Linked DNA regions of Astyanax mexicanus. The protein of the gene in region 2 purifies or fractionates together with the protein of the main gene of each other region. This does not show direct contact. Links are inferred from orthologs where the notes say so. Each region holds a gene or a part of one and is shown on either strand. Other genes may lie near its edges. The genes, in order: irak1 and peli2.

Region 1 (11,683 bases), on a different chromosome or scaffold from region 2:
AGAATCTTGATTCTCATTTACTACGATTCAGAATCGATTTAAAATGTCCCAAAATCGATTCTGAGGGGCGGGTTTTGGACTGATTTTGGGCTGGGTATTTTTGTTGGACCTGGCAACCCGCTTGTCCCTTCAAACCGAGGTCTTCCAGACCCACACAGAGCGTAGTAGGTGTTTGAGAATCACCGGTAAGATGGCAGAACAAGCACTATATTACCTTAGATTAACGTGTAGTTTTAATGTTTTATGGCAGAATGCTTCATAACAAGCATAAAAAAGATCGCTAGTAGTTAGTTTCAGTAACTGTTAGCTAGCTAACAAGCTAACTTTCCAGTTCCACCTTAAATAACGCTACAGGTGGCTGCGGGCTGCAGCATTTAAGGCGGAACGGAAAAATAACAATAAGCTAATCAGAGCTCATTTCAGCTCCTCATCACAGAGGAATTAAGGAATGGACAATATGAATTAATTTCTCCACCTCCTGCCCCCTTTCTGAAGAAATACAACGACCTTAAATTAACTAGTTAATCAGCAGCTGCTCCTGAACTTTAGCGCTCCACTGCTATCATCACATCAGCCCAGCAGCGTCACCTACACACCACCGCTAGTAGCCTTGTAATAAAGCAGTGTTATTTATTATTTATTTATTGTTCATTAACGTCATTGTGATATCCCAGTGATTCCTCTGTCACTGAGGACCCACATTCCTGCACATTTTATTGTTTTTGTAACACATTACTTGCTCCAGGACCAGTGTATATTATGGAGGGTTTTTTTTTCAATAAGATTCATAAGCCAGAAGCAGAAATTTTTATAATTCAAATCGTTTTGAATCAAAAATCGATTTTGAATCGAATCGTGGCCCCCAAAATCGGAATCGAATCGAATCGTGAGATAGTAATCGATTCCCACCCCTAATGGAAACATATGACTAGTCATAATTACATGAAGGATTTGTATGTGGTTCTCATATGACTGTTCAGCATGACATTGTAGATCTGTAGATCTGATAATATTACTAGTAAAAAGTTAATAGATTTCCATAGAATTTCTAGAGTTTTTTAGTAAAAAAACTGCATTACAAAGATTCTGAACTGGAGTTTTTTACCAGTAAAAAATGAATACCAAGGACAGTGAGTCAACGTTCAGTTTTCCATTACTACATTGAAACAACTGTGCTCCAACTGCAACAATGAATTGACATTACAATATTATATAGACAGTACCATTCAAAAAATTGTATACACCTCTTCTCATTTAATGAGGTATTACAGCTATACAGTAACTTTGAGGGCAAATTAATCTAGTGACAAAATTGAAAGAGTCTGGTAATACATTAGCAGTTTTATTTTTAGGGATATAAAACAGCAATGCTTACTGTTGAGATCAGAAGGTAGATTATCTATTATTTATGCTGAAGTTTATGCTCTCTTTTTCTGTCTCTCACACTTATGTGGTCACGCACACACAAACACATACAGCTGATGTCATGTTTCCGCTGTTGAGTGTGAAATATGGAACTACTACATTAGCGTTTATTGTCTCCATTAAACTCAGTAATATGTTTGAGATATTATATATTATATAAAAAAAGAATCTAGGCTGACAGGTGTAAAAACCAAACACCATTATTTTTGTCCCATTCCCAAAAATACAGTTAAGTACATAATCCTGATTTCATCCATGATTTAATCACAGAATATTGTTAAGATTTTTACCATTATTTGAAGGGACTGGTACTAATAAGACATGATTGTCTTATTTATGCAGAAATTTAAAACATTCTATAAGGTTCACAAACTTACAAGTACAACTATATATTATTATATCCAATCCATTATTTAAAAATCTGCCTAATTTACTCATTTATTCTGGAATTTACTGAGGTCATGAGAGCAACCCATTTTTTCACTAATGTTTGTAGATATCTGCATGCCTAGCTGCTTGGTTTTATACACCTGAATTCAGAATACAGAATATTGTTGTGACAATTATTTCAAGACATTAGCACCAATAAAACAAAGTCATATTTATGAAGAAGAAAATATCTAGAAAATCCTAGAGGGTTTACAAATGAGAACATCTAATCCAATTTTTTTTTTTATCTACCCAATTTATATTTGGCTTTATGCACCTGAATTCAGTGATTTGCAATGGTGAGCAATAAAGTGTTGAAAACATTCACAACTGCAAGATGATATTTTCAGCCTACTCGAAATGTGTCATTTTTACATTAATAGCTGAATATGGAGCTACCCTGGCATTTATTTTCTCCATTACACTAAGTAACTCACATTTACACACAACAATATTCTAGTTTAAAAAGCATCAACACTACTCTGAGATATTATAATACAGTAAAAAGAAGTCTTCCAGGTGTAAAGCACACTACATCATTATTTTGTTCCATTCTCAAGTAAATAAATAATGATTTAACCATGATTTAGTCCGTTTAAAAGCATCAAAACTACCCTGAGATATTATAATACAGAAAAAAAGGATCTAGTCTGCCAGATATAAACCATACTACACCATTATGTGTGTCATATTCCCAAAAATATAGTTTACATGGTTCATACACGTTTTAATCAATACATTTCCATTATATTTCCATGACTTTTGTAATGCCCTCCGGGCAAATTTCATGACCATACGATTTTTAAAACATCAGTGCAGACATGGACAATAAAACCAAAAATCAACTAAAACATTTTCTCCATCTATAAACGGAAATATAAAGATTTGTAGACCAAATTTCCATGACTTTTCAAAAACTTTGTGGTCATTATTATTTTTCCAAAACTTATCCAGGACTGAAAATTGCTATTTTCAAGTTCCATTACTTTTACAGGTTTTTCATGACCGTACAAATCCTGCGTTTATATCCAGCATTTAAAAAATGTAATCAATATTGCTTTGACAAATATTTTAAGTGATTGTCACTAATAAAACAAGGCCGTATTTATGCAGAAATCTAGAAAATTCTAGAGGGTTCATTAACTTTAAAGCAACAGTGTATTAAAATATCCAATACAGCCTTTATTTAGGCAGATGTTTAAATAAAACAAAAACTGTAGATAAACTGTGGGTTAACTATTTAACATATCTAGATACGCTAAGCTAACTGTCAACACTTAACCAGGCTAATTAGCTAACTGACCTAAACTACTTTTAGTCGTTTGACCAGATGACATGTTTAGCTTTGAAGGGTAACGTTAACAGCAATGACAAGTGGTTTAATTAGAGGCATAATTTAGTCAGAAACTTAAGCTAATTAATATTAATAGCAGCACAACTAAGGTAAGTTGAGTTAGCTAGCTAAATTATCATTATTATTGGTCATAGAGCTAGCTAAATAACCTAGCGAGCTAACTGGCTAACTAACCCCTTAACTTTCACTCACGTTGAGGAAGTTAGCCAGCTAGCCAGGCTAGCCTTGTACAACACTGTTTTAAGCTATGTTAGCTAGCTTAGCTAACTAGCTAACAATTCAATAACCTGTGTTCTGTCAAGTTCTAATACCATGTCAAGTTCTAATACCGTGCTACCCTAGTGTGTACGTTTAAGTGTACAAATTAGAATAAAGTTAAAGCACTATATGTTAGGTGATTAAAAACATTTATTATATATATAGTTATATTTTTATTATATTTTTTATAACTTTTTTTATTTTTATTTTTTACACGGTTGTAACACTCAAGTAAAATATATATCCATATGAGTGTGAGTCCAGATTGTACTAAATAAATAAATTAATTAATTAATTAACTTAAATTAACTAAATTATCAGGAAAAACTAGAAGTAAGTAACCCAGGTCCAGAAAGCAAAAATCCATCCCAGGGTTTTGTACCAACTGCCAACCAAGCCAAGCTGCGGAAGAGCCGCCCAGGCAGTTGGTACAAAACCCTGGGATGGATTTTTGCTTTCTGGACCTGGGTTATCCACCTCTAGGGAAAAACACATGAAAACATAGTAGCACATATCTATGGGGAGCACAACTCGATAAAACACCACCTACATCAAAACTTAACGCTAACTAAAGCGTGTCAGTTAGCTAAAACAGCTCAAATAAAGCGAAGTTACGTGGCTTAATAACCCTGAATAACTTAAAAATTAACTTAACGTTTTGTTAACGCTAATTTATCCTTACCAAATCTCAGCCAGTCCGAAACAGGCAGCGAATCCATGACCCGGGTAAATTCATTCACCACAGCCGCTGGTAAATCGTAGATATATTCGCTGTAAAGTCTCATATCGGACATTTCTGGAGCTGGGCGATGTGTTAAACCCTGTAGGAAGATTTTAAGATGTTTCAGCAGCTAGCGTGGCTAAAGCAGCCCGAGTTATTTCCACATGAGCTCGGAGTGAACCGAGTGAACGGCTCCCAGCGGGCAGAAGAGCAGTGAGTAATCCAAGCCCGTCCAGCAGCAGTACGAGTTTGACATAAATTCCCGTCCGTTCTAGGTGACTGACTGGTTGAGAATCCCAGTTTAGCAGGGCTGTGTTCTCCCACAGCCATGCTGTGTCATGCTTGGCAAGGTTAGCTACTTTCCTCTCCGTGTGTGTGTGTTTTTTTTTTTTCAGCAAGCTCTATATCTGTATAACCCACTGTTTTACACTTCCTCTTTCCTCACTTAGCTAGCCCACTTCCAGGCTGTGAACTTCTATCTACATAAACTGTAGTTATTGGTGATTAGTGCTGGGCTATATGGACCAAAGAATGAATTAATAAATAAATAAATCCGATCAGTCTGTCTGATTTAACTATATATATATATATATATATATATATATATATATATATATATATATATATATATATATATATATGTTTGAGTAAAATGAACACTGTGGTTACAAATAAAAATATTGTCATTTAGAGTATTGATTTGCAATAAATGAGAAATGGCTGAAATAACAAAAAGGGGACCTCAAATTTCAGACCTCAAATAATGCAAAGATTTCAGAAATCAATATTTGGTGGAATAACCCTGGTTTTTAATCACAGTTTCCTTGGCATGTTCTCCTCCACCAGTCTTACACACTGCTTTTGGATAACTTTATGCCACTCCTGGCACACAAATTCAAGCCATCAAACCAAGCTGAACTGCTTGAATTTTTTCACAAGGAGTGGCATAAAGTTATCCAAGACTGGCAGAGGAGAACATTCCTCATTTCAGAAGATGCATGAAAACTGTGATTAGAAACCAGGGTTATTCCACTTATGAATATGAGCTTGTTTTTTGGCATTATTTGAGGCCTAAAATCTTTTTTGTTATTTCAGCCATTTCTCATTTTCTGCAAATAAATGCTCTAAATGACAATATTTTTATTTGTGATAAATGTTGTCTGTAGTTTATAGAATAAAACAACAATGTTCATTTTGCTGGAACATATACCTATAAAAAGCAAAATCAGAGAAACTTATTCAGAAACTGAAGTGGTCTCTTAATTTTATTTCCAGAGCTATAAATCACAATTTTTTTCAAAATTGTATTTATTTTAAATGTTAAATGCTAAACTTCATAAAATGTTTTATTTTATTTTATTTTTTTGATGATTTTTATATTTTTTTTAACATTATGTCACCAATTTTACAGCTGAATTGGTTCATACTGTATTGAAATGTGTATCAAAATGATGCTGTTTGGGTAGAGTACAGTAGTACAATTGCACCACTGTTATTGAAATATTGATCAGAATAAATATTGATATTTAATTATTGTCCAGTCCTATACATGACTGCATGACATAAGCAAAATTGCATGACACTTATTTAAGAGGTTGAGTTCAGTTTCTGTCTAGAAGTAGGTAAAAAGTAAGAGTGTTCAGCATGTTTTGATGAAGGGAGATTCCACCTCCATGAGTCAATTCTGGAGATCTAATCAGATTTGGCGGTTCGGTGGTGTAAAATGGTTTAAGCGGTTCATGGTGGAGAAACCCTGTTACAGTAATTTATGTACTGTCTTTCTAGAACAGTAGTGACTAGGTCTGCAACACAAATATATCTATTTAATGTAGCAACTAAAACAGCCAGTGAAGCTAAATATGTGTTCTGAGATGAACTTACAAGCTATACTTTAATCAGTTTTTGACACATATCTTAAAAGTATATAAGGAGAGCCACATCAAAATCAAATATCCAGTCTTACATACAGTATTTGTGAGCAACAAAAGTATGTGAACATGCTTTTAGTTTCTGTTGTGACTCCTTTGTGCACCAATAAGTGCAACTAAATGTTTCCAGTAACTGTTGCTCAGTCCTACACATCCACTTTAGCACATTTTAAGCACATTCCTTCAATCCTGTGGTAGAATGTTTATGTGTGTAGGGTCACTGTCTTGCTGCATGACCCACATTCACTTGAGATTAAATTTACAGTATGATGGTATGTGCTGGTATCCGGCCTGGCCCAGATGCAACAAAAAAGGCTCAAACCATGAAACTATAACCGTGTTTTACAGAGAAAATAAGGTTTTTGTGCTGGAAATTGTTTTCTTTCTTCAACCATAATGCTCCTCATTTATAATTCAAATCTCTATATTGGCCTCATCTGTCTTAAAAACATTGTTCCAGTAGCCGTTCAAGTGCGTGACCAAACCACAGACACTGACAGATACAGTAAAAAATATTGGATAATATTCTTTTAATAAAAAAAAGCAGGTTTAATATTTGTGTCTCAATTGTTTGATTTGTTTTTTTCTAACCTACTTTTAGGACTTTAGTGACTTTATGCAGCATATATGTGCATTTTTCTGTGAAGACCGATCTCTCTAAAGCAGAGGACAGACTGTTAGTCAGACTGTTATCTGTCCTTGAAAAAAAAATGATGCATGCTTTACAACTTGTGTGTGACTCCTTCAGGACTAAGCAAAGACGAACGAAAATGTGACGAATGTTCCAGAAACCTTTTAAATAATATCTTTTTAAAGGTCAGATGGACTGAAAATATCACCAGACGTGAAAGACACTGCTGCTCTAGATATGGTCAGAGGGGCCCAAAAAATGGATAAAATGTCCTCACAGACCACCAGTGTGGAGCTCAGGTAGAAATCAGCAAACTGGGAGTTGCTATTGGTTTTTACTTTTTTTTATGGAGCTGAAGGCAAACATTGCGAGGGTTAATCTTTGCCTAGTCCTTGGGCCACAGATCTCACTCTGTTTTGGAACTGTTCATTTTAATTTCCTTTTATCTTTACATCCAAAAAAAACTCTAGTCAAACTGGCAAAATCTATTTTTGGACTCTGAATTATTTATTTATTACTAAATCTTACATTATTATAGTACCATTGTACCAAAACTACTTTAGTAATTATAAAATTGATGCTGTAATACTAATGTCACGAGAGTAAGTTGTAAAGTGCTCTTATTGTAGCTGTTTATTATTAGTACTACTTACTTTTCCAGCCATTTGTTGTCCAACCTTTTTTAGATGTATTGCTGCAGTAGGTTCTAAATAGCTTTAACGTCTGATATTTGTTCTATTGTGAATAAAACATGTCTCTGTGAGATTTACAAAGTATATCTGAAGAAACATATGTAAAAAAAAAAATTTAAATAAAAAAAATGTACATAAACAAAGTAAAAACTACTTGTGTGATTTTTGACAGTTCTGGGGAATCTTATCAAATTAAGTTTCAATATTTTTTTGTGTGAAATGTATTTATTATTAATTACTTTAAAGAAATTTTAAATCACAGGAAGTAATTTAAAGTAACTACTCATTACGTGGTGAAACCCATACCATAACAGCATTAAATATGATTGAATCTTAAATAATTTTCATTGCTGAGAGTATTTTCGAGTTTATACTTTTTAAAATTTTCAATTGCAAGATAAATAAAAAAAATAAGACATTAAGCACATTTTAGAATGAAAATATGAGATTAGTTTTTACCAAAACCCTAAGTAATGCATACACTTGATTTATAGACACCTAATAATTCTGGAAACGTGTAAAACAAATGTTGAGCATGTTAAGAAAATTAATTAAGATATTTTAAGATAACTCATGGTCGCACCAAATGAGGAAACAAAAATGTTTCATAAGAATTTTCATGTTCGCAAGATTTTTAATGCTTACACTCAAGATTTACTCTTGTTTTTAAGATTTTAAAACCCTCAAATATCTATGACCCATATACTGGCTCTGCAACGTTTTAACTTTAACTGCAGAGTGTGAGATTACTGCTATATATGGTTTAACACCTCACTACGTTTACCTTACCTGATTTCACCCCACAGATGATTCTTCGAGGGCCTTCGAGGAGCTGGATGTGCCGCACTGTGAAAGGACCAGCCCCTCCAGGGACCCGGTTCCAGATCTCAGGTCAGTGATGAACACCTCATATTAATGCATGATGCAGCTGCATTTTCAGCACGGCAGCTTTTGAGATTCCACTCCAGAGTCCATAATTGGAGACTTCATTTGCAGGCAGCTGGATGGATTTTTTCACAACACAGTATATATTTTTTTCTAGTGCATGAGCTTCAGACGAGGCTTTCTTCTGGGACGATGGTCATGCTGTAGCTCATTTTCAGGAATTTAAATCCTTGGCCATAAAAAAAAAAAATAATAATAAAAAAAAAAAATTAAATCATTAATGCTCACCTGATTTTCTACTTATACTTTCTTACTAATGTACTCTGAATGCAGAGATATGCAGAAAAATAAAATATATCATTTTGTGGTCTTATTTATTTTGTGCAGTTTTGATATTTAATTTTATTGTAGTAAATTGTATACATGTATTTGTCACATTCCTCTTTAGTTTCTTTAAAAAAAAAACTTGCTCTTAAATTCACTTTGCATGCATATGTATGTTTAAGTGGGGTTTTGAAGGCTATTTTTATTTATTTATTTGTATTTTTAATGATCTTTAGAAAATGTAGGACCCGGGCTGAGATCAGTTGAGAAGCCCTGCTGTAGATATTATTATGTTAAGTGTACCTACAATAAAACATGTTATATCTCAGTGACAGGAAACTGCAGGGAAAAATGTGAGACCTCAGTGGAACTTCCCCGTATTAGAAGCTTCAAGGCTACTTCTATCCTATCACACTATTGAGTAACTGCACTACTGAAGCACTACTACTGAATTTTTGGCTTCATGCCATCATGTCACATCTCTCATCTCCCCTCTCGTGATACCTGACTTCCAAGAAACTCCACGGTTAATTAAAATGTTATGCAATTTCAATGGAATATCTGACTCAACAACAACGTCAGCAAGTATTGTTTCAACTTGAGTTAAAAAGGAGAAAAAAAAGAGGGTCGGTTTCCCAGACACTTATTAGGCCTAGTCATAGACTGTATTTTCCTTTTACTGGACAATCTACATTTAAAGTGCCTAGTCTTGTATAATCCAAGACTAGGCTTAATCAATGTCTGGAAAACTAACCCTGTAAGTCTTTATCCTAGACTAGTGCACTTTACACATATAAAAACACATAATACCTGCATTATTTATGGGCTAAAACATGTGCAATCCTCCAATCATACACATTTTATTTTCAAACATTTCATGTTAAGCCTAACATCAGTTTGTGAGCTTAAAAAAAAAAAGGAAAAATAATAAAATGTCTAGGCAAATGATGTAGCACTCGCCACTAGGGGGGAAAAAGAACAAAAAAAGGCAAAATAACTGAAACAAAAACAGAGCAATCGGAGTGAACCCCCTTAAAAGAGGAGTAGTCGAACCAAATCTGGCTGCGGAGCCACAGTGTCTGACTGAAGCTCACCTGTGACGAGAGCGAAAGAAACATTTTAGACAGGAAGAAGGTAAATGTTGTTTACTGTTGTGTATCTGTTACATACGGCAAACAAATAATACAGTAACACATTACTATAAAAGTAGACACAAACTATACTTTTCACTTTCAGGAAGGCAAGGACTTAAATTGGCAAATGGTGAGTAACCAGTGACACCTAGGCTGTAGGATTGTTTGGTTAAAATAATAATAATATACTTTTTTTTTCTCATTTTTATTTTTTTTTTGTCTTTGAAGATACATAGTACTACCCATCCCTTTTATTTCAAACTAAATCAAAACATATGAAAAAAAAACAGCAACTTCGGACAACGGTAAAAAATACATACAAAACGTTAATGGGTGTCCTGCCAGGAAACATACTTTATAAAGTGCAGATCTTTTAATTCATTGTCACCAGTCGTGGTTGAAATATTCCTTTCATAAAATGCAAAATTGTGGTTGGAAGATACAGTTTGAGGCAGGCTCTAATGACGAGTAACTCGCGATGTTAAAATGAAGAAGAACATTTCCCGACAAACACACGTCACCCGACTCGAGAGACACATTCAACATACCAGGGATGAAAAATACCAAGATCCTATCACCTTTTACACAGTCGATATTGCCCAAGAAGGTTTTTCCTAATTTATTCCAAATGCGCATTTTTCCCCCCGTATGAAAATAAAACAAGGCAAACGTATCGCTGATCTCTAGAAATCCTTAACACACCCAAAGCACTGAATACCAACAAGAGGCAAAACACAGGACTCAGAATAAAAATACAACTACGGTATAAAGATAAATTTCTATTACTGAAACTTCAAGGCACAAGACTATGTCAAATAGACCATGAACTTTCTACCGATGAAGTTTGGAACCTATTTCCTGTAGCTGAACTGGACTCTGTGACTTTGTTTGACCTTCATCTTTCAGTCTTGCTTGCTTTGAGCTTAGCTGAAGTGCTGTAGTTAAATTCAGGTACTTACTGGTAAATTAAAATTTGTACTTCAGGCATTAGTAGTAAGAATTCAATTTTACATTTTTTTTATTATTATTTTCTCTTCTTTAAATATATAACAGTGCACACAATCTAAAGACACAAGAATGACAGAAACGCAAATCAGATCTACTGAATATACTATTGCTTTTAAGGTAAAATAGTCTACTCCTGACATTGGCTTAAAATTCCAACACTAAGATTCACAAATAATAATAATAATAATTTACTTGGAATACTTTTGCCACTGCATTGGGGACTAGAGTAATAGCTTTAGGAGCCTGTGTGGAACCATTATCACTATTAATAACCATCATTATCATCTTCTTCTTCACCTTCTTTAATTGGTTATATAAACAAGCGGGGTCGTAACATATAAAATTAAATAAATAATAATAATAATAATAATAATAATAATAATAAAAAGAAAAACGTAACTCAAAAAATATTCCTGTCCAACAAAACTGCTGAAAAAAGAACTGACTTTATCTTTTTTTCCACATTTTGTTAATTTTTGTTTATCAATTTTTTTTTGTATTTATTTATATTTTTTACTTAATTGCACAAACAGGTGACCTTGTCGTTTTCCGAACTCGTTCAGCGTTCAAGCTCTCGTTAATCTACCCTCAAAGATTTTTTTTATGGCCAGATGGTTCGGCTCAGCTCTTGGAGAGAAGTGTCGTCCCGAAAACGTCGTTACGAAGAATAGTAAAGGGCAAGCAATGTACTACCTTCTAATGGCAATCATGCATATTGATACATGTTCACATACATAGCATGTATTTTTGGCTACAGGGACACAAGGACATTCCATAGCATATTTGTCTGCCAGAGGCACAAAAACAGATAAATAAATGTAAATCTGTAAGTCTTATTTTTCTTGTAGGACTCCATATTTTTGACAGTGGGCATCGAGTGCTACAAAAGGCATAA
Region 2 (10,834 bases):
ACAATTAAAAGCAGCACACTGCAATGGTCAATAATGACGGGTGGTCTTGCTTAACCTGGTATAGAAAAAATAGAAAGTAAAACAAAACCTGCCAAAACACTTTTGATTGGCAATATGGAGTTGGCCAAATGTTTTGTGGTCATACAAAACAAAAATGAAGCTTTTTGGAAATGTGTTGCATAGATCTAACACAGTTCATGCCTCAGAAAACAACATCCCTACAATGAAGTTTTGGGGTAGTAGTATAATGATCTGTCTCTGCCTTCCCCTTAGTGGGGAATGGGTATTTTTCATTCCCATTCAGTAGGACAAAGTACCACAGTCAAATAGAAGTCTATTAAAGTCTTTAAAATTGAAGTACAACCATCCTGGAAAAAACGATATATGCTTTGAGGTATCATCTTGTGAGTGAGACTGAACACTGTAACATAGCAAGGCAATGTTAATTATCAGAGTTTGAGTGAGGCCTGATCGTGGGTTCCAGATGGATGAGACATCATTTTTAATTTGCACAGGCATTAACTTTCCCATTTGGAATGTCAGTATGTAATGGTTTGGATTTATAAAAAAAAAAAAAATACTGGGTGGCATAATATATTTAAGAGTAATCTGTGCATATAAACCGATGGCTTGTGTTATTCAGGAGAACCATATGTAACAGATACCAAACCTGACTAAATCAGGCTGCAACAGGTATGCTGTAGGGTTGATCTTAATGTTTGTGGCTTGTTAACCTTCTTGGGCAGTAGCTCTTTATATACACTACTTAAACCCTCTGAGAATCTGAAAATGCAGGGTAGGAGAAATAAGAGCCTGAGTAATGAATGGGATGGAAATCTCATGGTATCGTCTCTAACAGAAGAGCTCAGCTGAAACTAGCTAATTGTAATCTTCTTCCCTTTTGACCTTAGGCAGACAGGCTGGAGGAGTTATCCTCCAATGCTCTGCGGAAAAGATTAGCCACACCTGTCCTCAACTGAGGGGCCTTTCCTACAGACCCATCAGCACTTCTCGACACAAATCACAGAGCAAAAACTGCATTTTAGGGCTGGAATTTCACAAGTTAGTTAAAATAATCCAGAGGGATTACAACAGCCATATGGTGGAATTCCTCATCTGCAATGAACCTAAACAGAACAGCAACACCTTAAAACAAATCACACGTCCACCGCAGAGCATTTCTGTTGTGAATTTTGCTGCACACATGGAAGAGTAAAACAGGCATTTAAATTTTATACAGTTAAGAATCTGAGTGAACCAATAATAAATAGCAAACTAAGGCTAGACAATAATTTAAATCCAATACACACAATCATACATATACTTTTCTGGTAATGGCAATATACCTTAATGTTAGACATCTGTTCTGGGTGTTGTGTGCAGCTTTTCTGTGGCTTTTATGTTCATACAGACAATAGAATTATACCATATTGTCTGAAATTAAAAAATATATTATAATGTGCCTTTTTTCTCATGTCATCCAGCCCTATATCAGAGTAAATAAAACATTTACACGCTTATGGCAACATGTGATGTTTAACCCTTAAAACAAACAACAATTGTTTACAGCCCATACTTTAACTCCTCACTCCCAAACAACATAAGTTTCTTGTTTGTTTACATTTACAGAAGATAGAAATGAACTTGAATTTGCAGTTACTGAATAACAGGTCTTGAAGGTGACAGAACACAGAATTAACATGTCTAGACACAGTGTTAAAATAGCCAGATTTACTGGCAACATTTATTTTACCACAACATACTGCTATACTTAGGGATGCACAATTATTTATATGCATGTTGGAGGCCACACTACAACAATTAGCCAACACTGGCCATTGATTTAAGATCATTTCTATTTATTTGTATTTGTTTCAATAAATCTGTTGCTTTATTTAACATGTTAATTTGAAAAAGAAATGTTTAAAGCTGTTACCAGTCAGCTAAGTTAATGTGAATCCAAACTTTCAGGAGACACCTTTTTTTTTGCATTTAATTGCCAAAAACTAATATGTAAGGGAAATAAACGTGACATTTGTTTTTAAAGTTATACTAGGGAGTCTAATCTCTGTGTTTACGTGTGTATATCTGTATCAGCAGATATGTACATGCAATATAGATATTGCATTGGCCCAGAATTCCCACATCGGTGCATCCCTTGCAATCCTAATGATGTTAGAAGAATGCCCTTATCTGGAATGCTGTTAGGTTAGAGTTACAGCATTGCACAGATACTCTCAAACTTCCTGAGCTTTTGTATTTTCAAATGCAACTTTTGGTATCCTTTCTTCAGCTAATGCCATCAAGCACAGACAGGAGCACAAGATTTGGTTCCAAAAGCAAACCATTGGTCACCATCTGGCACCAATATGTATGCTATGCATATCTGCATATCTAAGAAAAGTCAATACAAAAAAAATCATACAACATCATGAAACATCAGAATTAAGGAGTTTAAATAGGGGTCGTGTGTGAGCATTCGGTAAAGAGAAAGACACATGACACTGAAAACAGGGCACTATCAATGACTATCAATGGCTGAGAGACATCCATCTTCCTTAGTTTCACTCACAAAGATCAGTCACTGGAAATAAAACTCCTATGCCAGAGGTGTCTTCAGTAAGAAGCCAGCAGGGTCACACAAAGTCCCCCATCAATAAGCCCAGTCAGGCCAGTTAGGACAATGAACAGAGACAGCAGGACTGTGGAGACACAGTGGCTGTGCACAGATCAATAATACGCTCTTTCAGCTGAGGACTCTCCCCTGAGTGTGTCAGTGGGCAGTGCCAGGCAGGACAGCAAAGGCATGGTACTGTTGCTAGCTTTGCCTGAAACTGGGTGAACTGATGTGCTAGAGCACACTGGATCACAAACAATAATACTTTGTGAGGACTTACTAAAGTTGACCAATAACCAGTTTAGCATAGTGTACCTTTGAGGATTATACTTTTTTTGAGGGGCTAAGAAAAAAAAACTTGTACATAAATAAGTTATCTGTTCTTTAAAGGAGAACACCAGTATGAAATTGACTTTGTGTGTAGTGAATAATTATAACGGAGTACAAACGTTTGTGGAATAGCCCAACTCACATTTATCCCCAGCATTCTGAAACAAAGCAATTTAAGCCAATGCTCCCAACAGGCTTACAATGCTAGCAGGAAGGGCATAGCATTGCCCATATGAAGAAAGTCAACATTATCAAGCATACTGAGAATACTGAAGGTGCTCAGGTAGTTTATTTAAAAAAAGACAGTTTATACACACAGTACCTTCAGGATGTTCTATGGTAGCCGCCATCAAAAAATTAGGTTAAATGATGAATCGGTAAGATAGAGGAACAGATTGCACAATTAAATCTGTGGAAATGCGTGAAAATTGGAGATATTTTTAGCAACAGTTGGAATTCATGCATTTCAACAGAATTAATTTTGCAACCTGTAAAACTTTTATAAACTATCTGTACACTTTCACTTGTTTTAAATGTCAGGGACCTCTGAATTCTAACAATGAAGTGTGGAGCTACTTTGAGCTTGCTAATGTTGCAAAAAAATTGCTATTTCTTTGCATGGGCTATGCCCCCATCCCTAGCATTATAAGCCTGTTGGAAGCATTGGCTAAAAGCATTGTACTTTGGAGTGCTGGGGTGAATGAAACAGACATGGGCTATTCGACAAAAGTTTGTACTCATTATCATATTTTACTACAATCCAAGTCGATTTCACATAAGATCTCGCCTTTAAATCTTATAGTAAGTTGCATATTAAAATTCTTTTTAATGATCATACCTTATGAAGATAGGTTTTTAATGTAGATATTCTTTTAAAAACAATATTTAGTTAATGTGTTTTTTTACTCCATAATGTGCAGGTGAAGCTCCCTCTCTACAGGGATAACTATAGGTTAACACATTTCTGTACTCTTCTAAAGGCGCTCAAATAGGCAGCCCTTGTCTAGTTATCAAATAAAGCTGATTTATGATGGGGCTGAGAGAAAGAACCCCTGTAAAAGGGGCCAGTGAAATGGCTCAGTCACTGTGGGGAAAAGGGGGGGGGCAATATAGTTAGCTTACCTATTTCCGAATTCCTTCAGAGCCCTAAATCTCCCTGGAACTTCCTGAACTAGTGGCGAGTGGAGCTTTACTTAGCTAGCTCAGTGAAATTAATGCAACACAGTGAACGAAAGAGAGCGAGCTCTGAACGCAGAATCCTCGAGATTTCTTCCTGTGCGAGGGTTTGGGTTCGGCTAAATGTGGTTAACGTGATTAGAGGCGTTAAGTCATTATCGGCGTGTGTTTAGCTGCTATAATTAGGATAAAGTAATGCGAGATATATCTAAATAATCAGTCCTGTAGCGCGGCAGATTGAAGAGGAGCACGGCCTAAGTTTGGCTTTTGCCTGGTGAATACTCGCAGGGACGTCGCACGTGTTTCATTTGTTGAGTAACGTGAGCGCGTGAATTGTGAGAGATTGGGAGGGGGTCCGCTCGCTCTTTCGGATAGCTATCCTAGCTATAGGCTACCGACCGTGTAAACAAGCACCAAGATAACTGCCTAGATAACTGTGGATTTCCCCCCGATATGGGAACGTTTTGTAGACACGAAGTGAAACACCAGTCAGTCCTCAGTTCGCGTTTATCTCAGGCATGTTTATTATTATCCCAGCCTAGAACAGCGTGTACTCTGATAGCTAGCTTAAGTTAAGTAACGTTAGAGGTTCAACTTAACTTTCCAACCAAAAACAATCTATTTGGAGATGAACTGTTGCTGTTATTTAAGGTTTTAAACTCAACTCACCCCAGAACTACCAGCTCCCCGTACTTCACAGGCTCTTTGGTGGGTCCACAGTGCTCCTCTTGGCCCGGTGAAAACATGAGGCTGCTAACCCTCCAAACTTCTCCACTCGAACTCGTCTCTCAGGATGGAGTTGGTCGAGCCAGTCCAGTGAAAAAAGATCACAGGGAAAAAATACTTCAAAGGACGAGACTAACAGCCATTTTCCGCCTGGTTCCCGCTGCCTCTTAAACCCTGCTCTTCTCTCAAAATAAATAAGCTGAATTCAAGTATCAGAAACAGGGCGTACAGTCAAGAATGCGCGTTTGAGAAACATTTCACAATCCCAAAAATACGCCTAACTTCGTGCTTTCACCGTTCTCTCTGCCAAGTGGAAAAACATTACACGGTAGGGGGTGGAACATACCACTCACTTACGCCTACTTTATACGGGGGGAGGACGGACTGCAGTTTCTATAAACATTAGAATCTGCCTTTCCTGCTTTAGACGTGTGAAATGCTACATTGTAAACATCCATAATGCTCAGCCAAACATACAGTACCGAAAAACAAGCCTATTCCCAGGGAAATAATCTGGAAGTGAAAGTACAGTCTCCCCCCTGAGTGGAACAGTCCTGGGCCGCCACGGTCTGAGGCGGCACCTTCAATTATGTAAACAAAGAGTAACAGTTGAAAATATTTAAAGGGATACTCACACTTCTGTGTTTTTATTTAGCTCTCCCCACATTAAATTACAAAATAGGAAAAAGTCATCCAAATCACAAAAAGGAGAAAACTTAAAACTACACCACAGTAAATGTGGCTAACTAACATTAAAGGATCACAAAGCGTTTATGATCTGTAGATCTGTATAGAGGAGCACTGACTGTGAGAGTGCATTTAAAGGAGAAATCCTGTGTGAAATGAACTTGGGTTGTAGTGAAACATGGTAACAAGTACAAACTTTACAAAATCACTATTTTTACACCATTAACAAGTTCAAAGTAGCAAAATAGCTTCCACCATTGGTGGAATTCAGAGGGCCCTGACATTTAAAACAAGGCACTGAGGCATTTTAAAGTGCTCAGATAAACTGTTTATATGCACAGTATATTGATGTAGAATCTGGAAATTCACAAGCACAAATAGGTAGAATAGGGGAACAGATTGCAAATTCTGTGGAAATGCATGAATTACTGTTGTTGCTGAAAACATCTCTACAATATTAATGCATTTCCATAGAATTAATTTTCTGTTATAAATTTGTTCCCCTACCCTACCTATTTGTTTGTCCACGCCTGTTAATGTATCCTGATTTAAGTTAAGGTTATTTTGAGCTTATTAATGGTTTAAAAATAACGATTTCTTTGCATGGGGATTGCTACACCCCTATCGCTATTATTGTAAGCCTGTTGGACACAACAGCTAAAAGCACTGTATTTAGGAATGCTGGGGCGGGACAGAGGTGGGATATTCAACAAATGATTTTACTTATCATGTTTCGCCACAGCCCAAGTCCATTTCACACAGGATTTCTCCTTTAAGAGGAAAATTCTGCTGCTTCACATCTTTAAACAGGAAATAACAAGCTGTAGGCCTAATGTTTGGAAAGAATTTATTAAAGCAGGTCAGCATTTCTGAGAGAAAAGCAGACTCTTAGACACCCTTAACTAATTTATCCACACCGTTTTGCTGGACTGTTAAGAAACCACAAAACTGCAGTAAAACAGCTCTCTGGGTTCAGCAGTGTCAGCTTAGCACAGAATCCAAGCACAGTTAAAATAATGACCCAAATCAGAGACAAATAAACTGGCACACGGCATGTAAAAAACACTATTTGCAACAACAAGTTTTAGAAATGTTTATTAGGTCATAGTGTAACACATCAGGCTCTGTACAGTTAATGTTCACTGTAGTGTACCATCATCACAGGCTGCTAAGATAAACTTCATCCTCATCTAGCTCTCTCTTTGTTGCAGCAGATCAGTGCACATGAATGAGTTCAAACATACAATCCAAGGTAAGCTTGAAAAACAGATTCGCACCACAAAACTGTATATTTAAAATCTATTTAAAGTCTTGTCTTGTACGTTTTTTTTTATTTAAAACAGATATATTGTATTGTTTGGTACCTTGTGTATTATAAGCTCTCTGAATAACACTAAACAAACTTCCCAGTCATGTCTATCTCTTGCCATTTGTCATTGGTGCAGTCATTCACACATCCCTGATGAATGTGTCACCTACAGTTTGCACAGTTGTCACTGTCTGGCCCTCTCTTCCTCTGACAACATTTGCAAGTAGTAGTAAACAGGTAATGAAATGTTTTAATATTACCCCAAAATGTGTGGAGAATACTGAAATAACTTATGGCATTTTATAAATATTGTTAATATATCCACTTCCGTTGGCAGGAAACATGTTGAAGGCAGTGAGATAAGTTGCACTTCTAATCTCATTATTTTTGTTAAATTCATATTAAATTTTAATTCAATAATTATAAATGTGTAGAAAATTGACATATTTAAAAATGCTGTAGAAAATCTAGTTAGCACTTGGAGTTGAGGCACAACATGGTGAAAAATGCCCACTCTGTTTCTGTCAACTGTATAGTTTTTTTAAAGTGACATTATGTAGGATTTGGGGATTTGAAGACCTCTCTGCTGTAAATGTGTAAAAATCTTAGGGATGTTTAAGCCAGGACACTGATACCATTAATTAGGATATATGTCTTCTACCAAATTTGGAATATTACAGCTTTCAGTTTAAAAGGAAAAATAATCTTAAAGACTGCTGCTTTAATCTGTGTAATGGTAATAGAGTTGACTGATAAGTCAAATCCTTCAAACTAAAACATACCCGCAATTCAAGAATGGGCAATGTGTAGTATTACAGTCAGGTATTACAGTTACTGTTTATTTTGTGTGGAGCTGATGTAAAACTGTAAAAACTGTAGATAGGAAGGCAGTTATGCAGATATTTCATTAATGAGCTAATATACTGCACATTCAAAGTGAGTTGGACTTTTTTTACATATAATAAACTAAATATGTTTTTTTAAGTTTATTCTTATCATAATACTGACATATTGGTCTTTATATTTATAAAGGATTAGAACTGAAATGGCCATTCATCACACCATAGTTGGTGAGTTTTAATCTCTGCGACACTAATCTGTGTTTAATCTGTTGTTAACACAGCAGGCTAGTCTGAAACTCTGCTCCCTTTGTTTCTATTATCATGTTTATTCAGTTCACTCCATTCAGAGTCAGTCAAGCCAGACCCCCAACAAATCCACAGTTTGTTCCGGTGAAAAACAACGATATGCCGCAAACACCGGGCCGCTTATCCAGGAGCTACTTACGGCAACCGCCGTGTATGTGATGTTGTGTGAAAAGTGGCTCAGGAAAAGAATACAGTAACATTATACCGAAACTTTGATCCAGTCTCCAGAGCACACTCACAAGCACACTTCCAGACAAAGGATCAAAGGCTTGCGTTGCACATACCACCCTGATGGGTTACAGATGCAAGCTGTTGTTCTTAAAAGAAATGTGCCTGGTTTTAATCTGTGCAGTTAGTGTTTCTGCGTGTGAGTGCGCACAATGGAGAACCCAACTGTCAGGAAGACAAAAGTCATGACACATATCCGCAGAGTGCGGAAAGTGGGATTGCGCAATCGTGACGCATCTGGCATGTGGACTGGATTGTGACGTGTGTGAGGCATGCTGCCAATTACTCATCATTACTGCTTCCCCTTATGTGTTATTATGGTCATATGCAGGAATTACTACACAATGTTATGCCTTCTGTTTAGTGCAGCAAACCTGAGGGCCTGTGTTAAACTAGCAGCTCAGTGCTGATGCTATGAAAACAGCTCTTACAGATGACCTCATGAGAATGTTCTGCCCCCAAGGCACATGATGACAGCAGTGCTTCAAGGTGAATTAGGAAAGGTGTTGATTCATGCAGGTATAGCTTACCACGCAATGGTAATACCCTACTACTCTGCGTTTATATGATCTCTCTTTCAGCTACCTTCCAAAAATGACTGGTCACATCCAGTCCCGCAAAGCAGCCAAAGGCTGATGACATGCTTGGAAATGCTGCTGACCTTCACTCTTAAACATGCTGACCTCTTACTCAAAGCAATAGTTAGTGCAAAAATCAGATGTACTGTACACACAGTGCCAGGGAAGGTTTTCTTAAGATTTTAGAGCATTGTTGTGAGGATTTAATTGCATTCAGGGAAAACAGGGTTATTGAGGTTAGGTTGTTGGGTGATCACCACCCTACCTTTTATCTGATCTTCCAAACTCATCCTAGAAGTATTGGATGGAGCTCCATTATTCTAAAGAACACAGTTCTACTGCTCAACAGCTCAGTGCAGAACCAATGTATACTCCTCTAGGACTGTAGTGAGTCCAATTTTAAAAATAAAAGATAGTTTAATTGCAAAATCTGAGGGTATATTATTATAGACCAAAGATCTTGGCTGTTCAGAAAAGTATGGATGCAACCTCCTCATTTTGTATTTTCATAAAGTATGTTTTTTTAAGTTATTACTGTTTTTGTTGACCTTTTTTCCTAAATATATGTGAAGTAAATGATATTGTACGTCTACAGTTATGTTATACTGATAAAAAAAAAACTAAAGAAAAAACATCAGACACCTATTATTGACAGGTTTTTGAGGTCAGAAAAAAACATAACAATAATGTCCTGCATATTGTATCAGTGTTTCCTACTATTATGGCAAACTGTAGTGCCTTACTAGGAGGGAAACAAAAGCACCACCAAAAGAATGAGTGTTTTCAAAAGTGCATACTGTTCTCTTATTAGCACCACTGCATTGTATTTATTTCCAAATGTTTGCTTTCATTGCCAGTATATTGTTCTATTCTTTTTTAATTACGTTTGATGCATTATGATGTGAGTGTAGCACTGTAACCATGTCACCATGTGATAAAGTCTTAACAAAACAGGCCTTTTTGGGACACTCTGTACTCTGTATCATATTGTGGATAATTGTATCGTGCGCATCATTGACTTGGCCTGGTCTGATATTATGCTGGGCAGACTGTGTTGTGGGATTTGGATGGCAGTAGGATCTCCATGTTGACGAGGTCAGGGCCACGGGGAAGGTTTGGTATCAGCTGACTGCAGTGTGATATGTAGGGAGAATGGCTGGAATGTGCTGAAGCTGTGCTACACAGTCTGCTGACCTAAGAACCGCACAAAAGTGCCATTATTGTGCACGTCATGGCCTTCACACAGAATGGTGGAAAGTTCAGGTGCCGAAGGTGAACTTAAATTAGAACTTCAATGGTGTCGTTCAGCTCCCTTCTGTAGATATGTAAACATGTTCAATATACACTTCATGTTAAAACAGGTTACATCCCTCAAGCCCTTTGTGATCTTAATGTAGAGGTAATGCAGAACCCATTATCTTCTTGTCCTGTAGTTCCTATTTGGTTACATGTTCTGTTTTTTTCTCTTTGTATTTTATGAGTCATGATTAGGCCCTATCGGAACTTTAGCTCTGCTTTGTATTTATTACTGTGAGGATCATCTTTCCTAGAAGCTCTTATACATCAGGACTGAAAACCGGTTTTCTGTCACCTTATCCTAAACTGATTATTTAGTGACAAAGTGAGACATTCAATGCACACACTCCAAATAATGTGCATTTTTATAATAAAATTGTAGTTCTACAGTGCTTCAGAGCTGGTCATATACCTTATTCCTTTTACCTCAGAAGCCTCAGAATTGAGCCTGAGTTGATGGCATTCTTAAACACAGATTTTCAAGTTTTCAAGTTTACTACAACAAGTTGACCATAATTTTTAAGTGTTTTAAAGTGGATCCAATCAAAATATCTTCCAATTTTTATGTCTGGGGGTTAGCATTATTAGCTTTGTTAACAACAACAATAGATAACACATTAAATAGTATTTTGCGCACATGTTCACAGATGGAAGTTGGCCAGTTCTATGTTTTAAAACTGGTTAAATGAGACACAAGGAGACACTGTATTATACTACTGTGTTGCATGCTGCAGTCATC

Evidence for each region.
Region 1: the proteins of peli2 (region 2) and irak1 purify together in Homo sapiens (affinity purification with western blotting; 7 studies listed by BioGRID and IntAct, with this or other methods). This does not show direct contact. The link is inferred for Astyanax mexicanus from reciprocal best matches to the Homo sapiens genes PELI2 and IRAK1.

The regions. Positions count from the first base shown.
Region 1 is NC_064419.1:4,120,273-4,131,955, forward strand, and holds the start of irak1 (interleukin-1 receptor-associated kinase 1), read right to left. Parts: upstream 4,594-11,683; 5' UTR 4,261-4,593; coding exon 4,149-4,260; intron 1-4,148. Other genes in the region: mecp2 (methyl-CpG-binding protein 2), read right to left, coding at 9,610-9,741.
Region 2 is NC_064421.1:22,323,934-22,334,767, forward strand, and holds the start of peli2 (E3 ubiquitin-protein ligase pellino homolog 2), read right to left. Parts: upstream 5,465-10,834; 5' UTR 4,870-5,464; coding exon 4,793-4,869; intron 1-4,792. UniProt on the Homo sapiens protein: E3 ubiquitin ligase catalyzing the covalent attachment of ubiquitin moieties onto substrate proteins. Involved in the TLR and IL-1 signaling pathways via interaction with the complex containing IRAK kinases and TRAF6.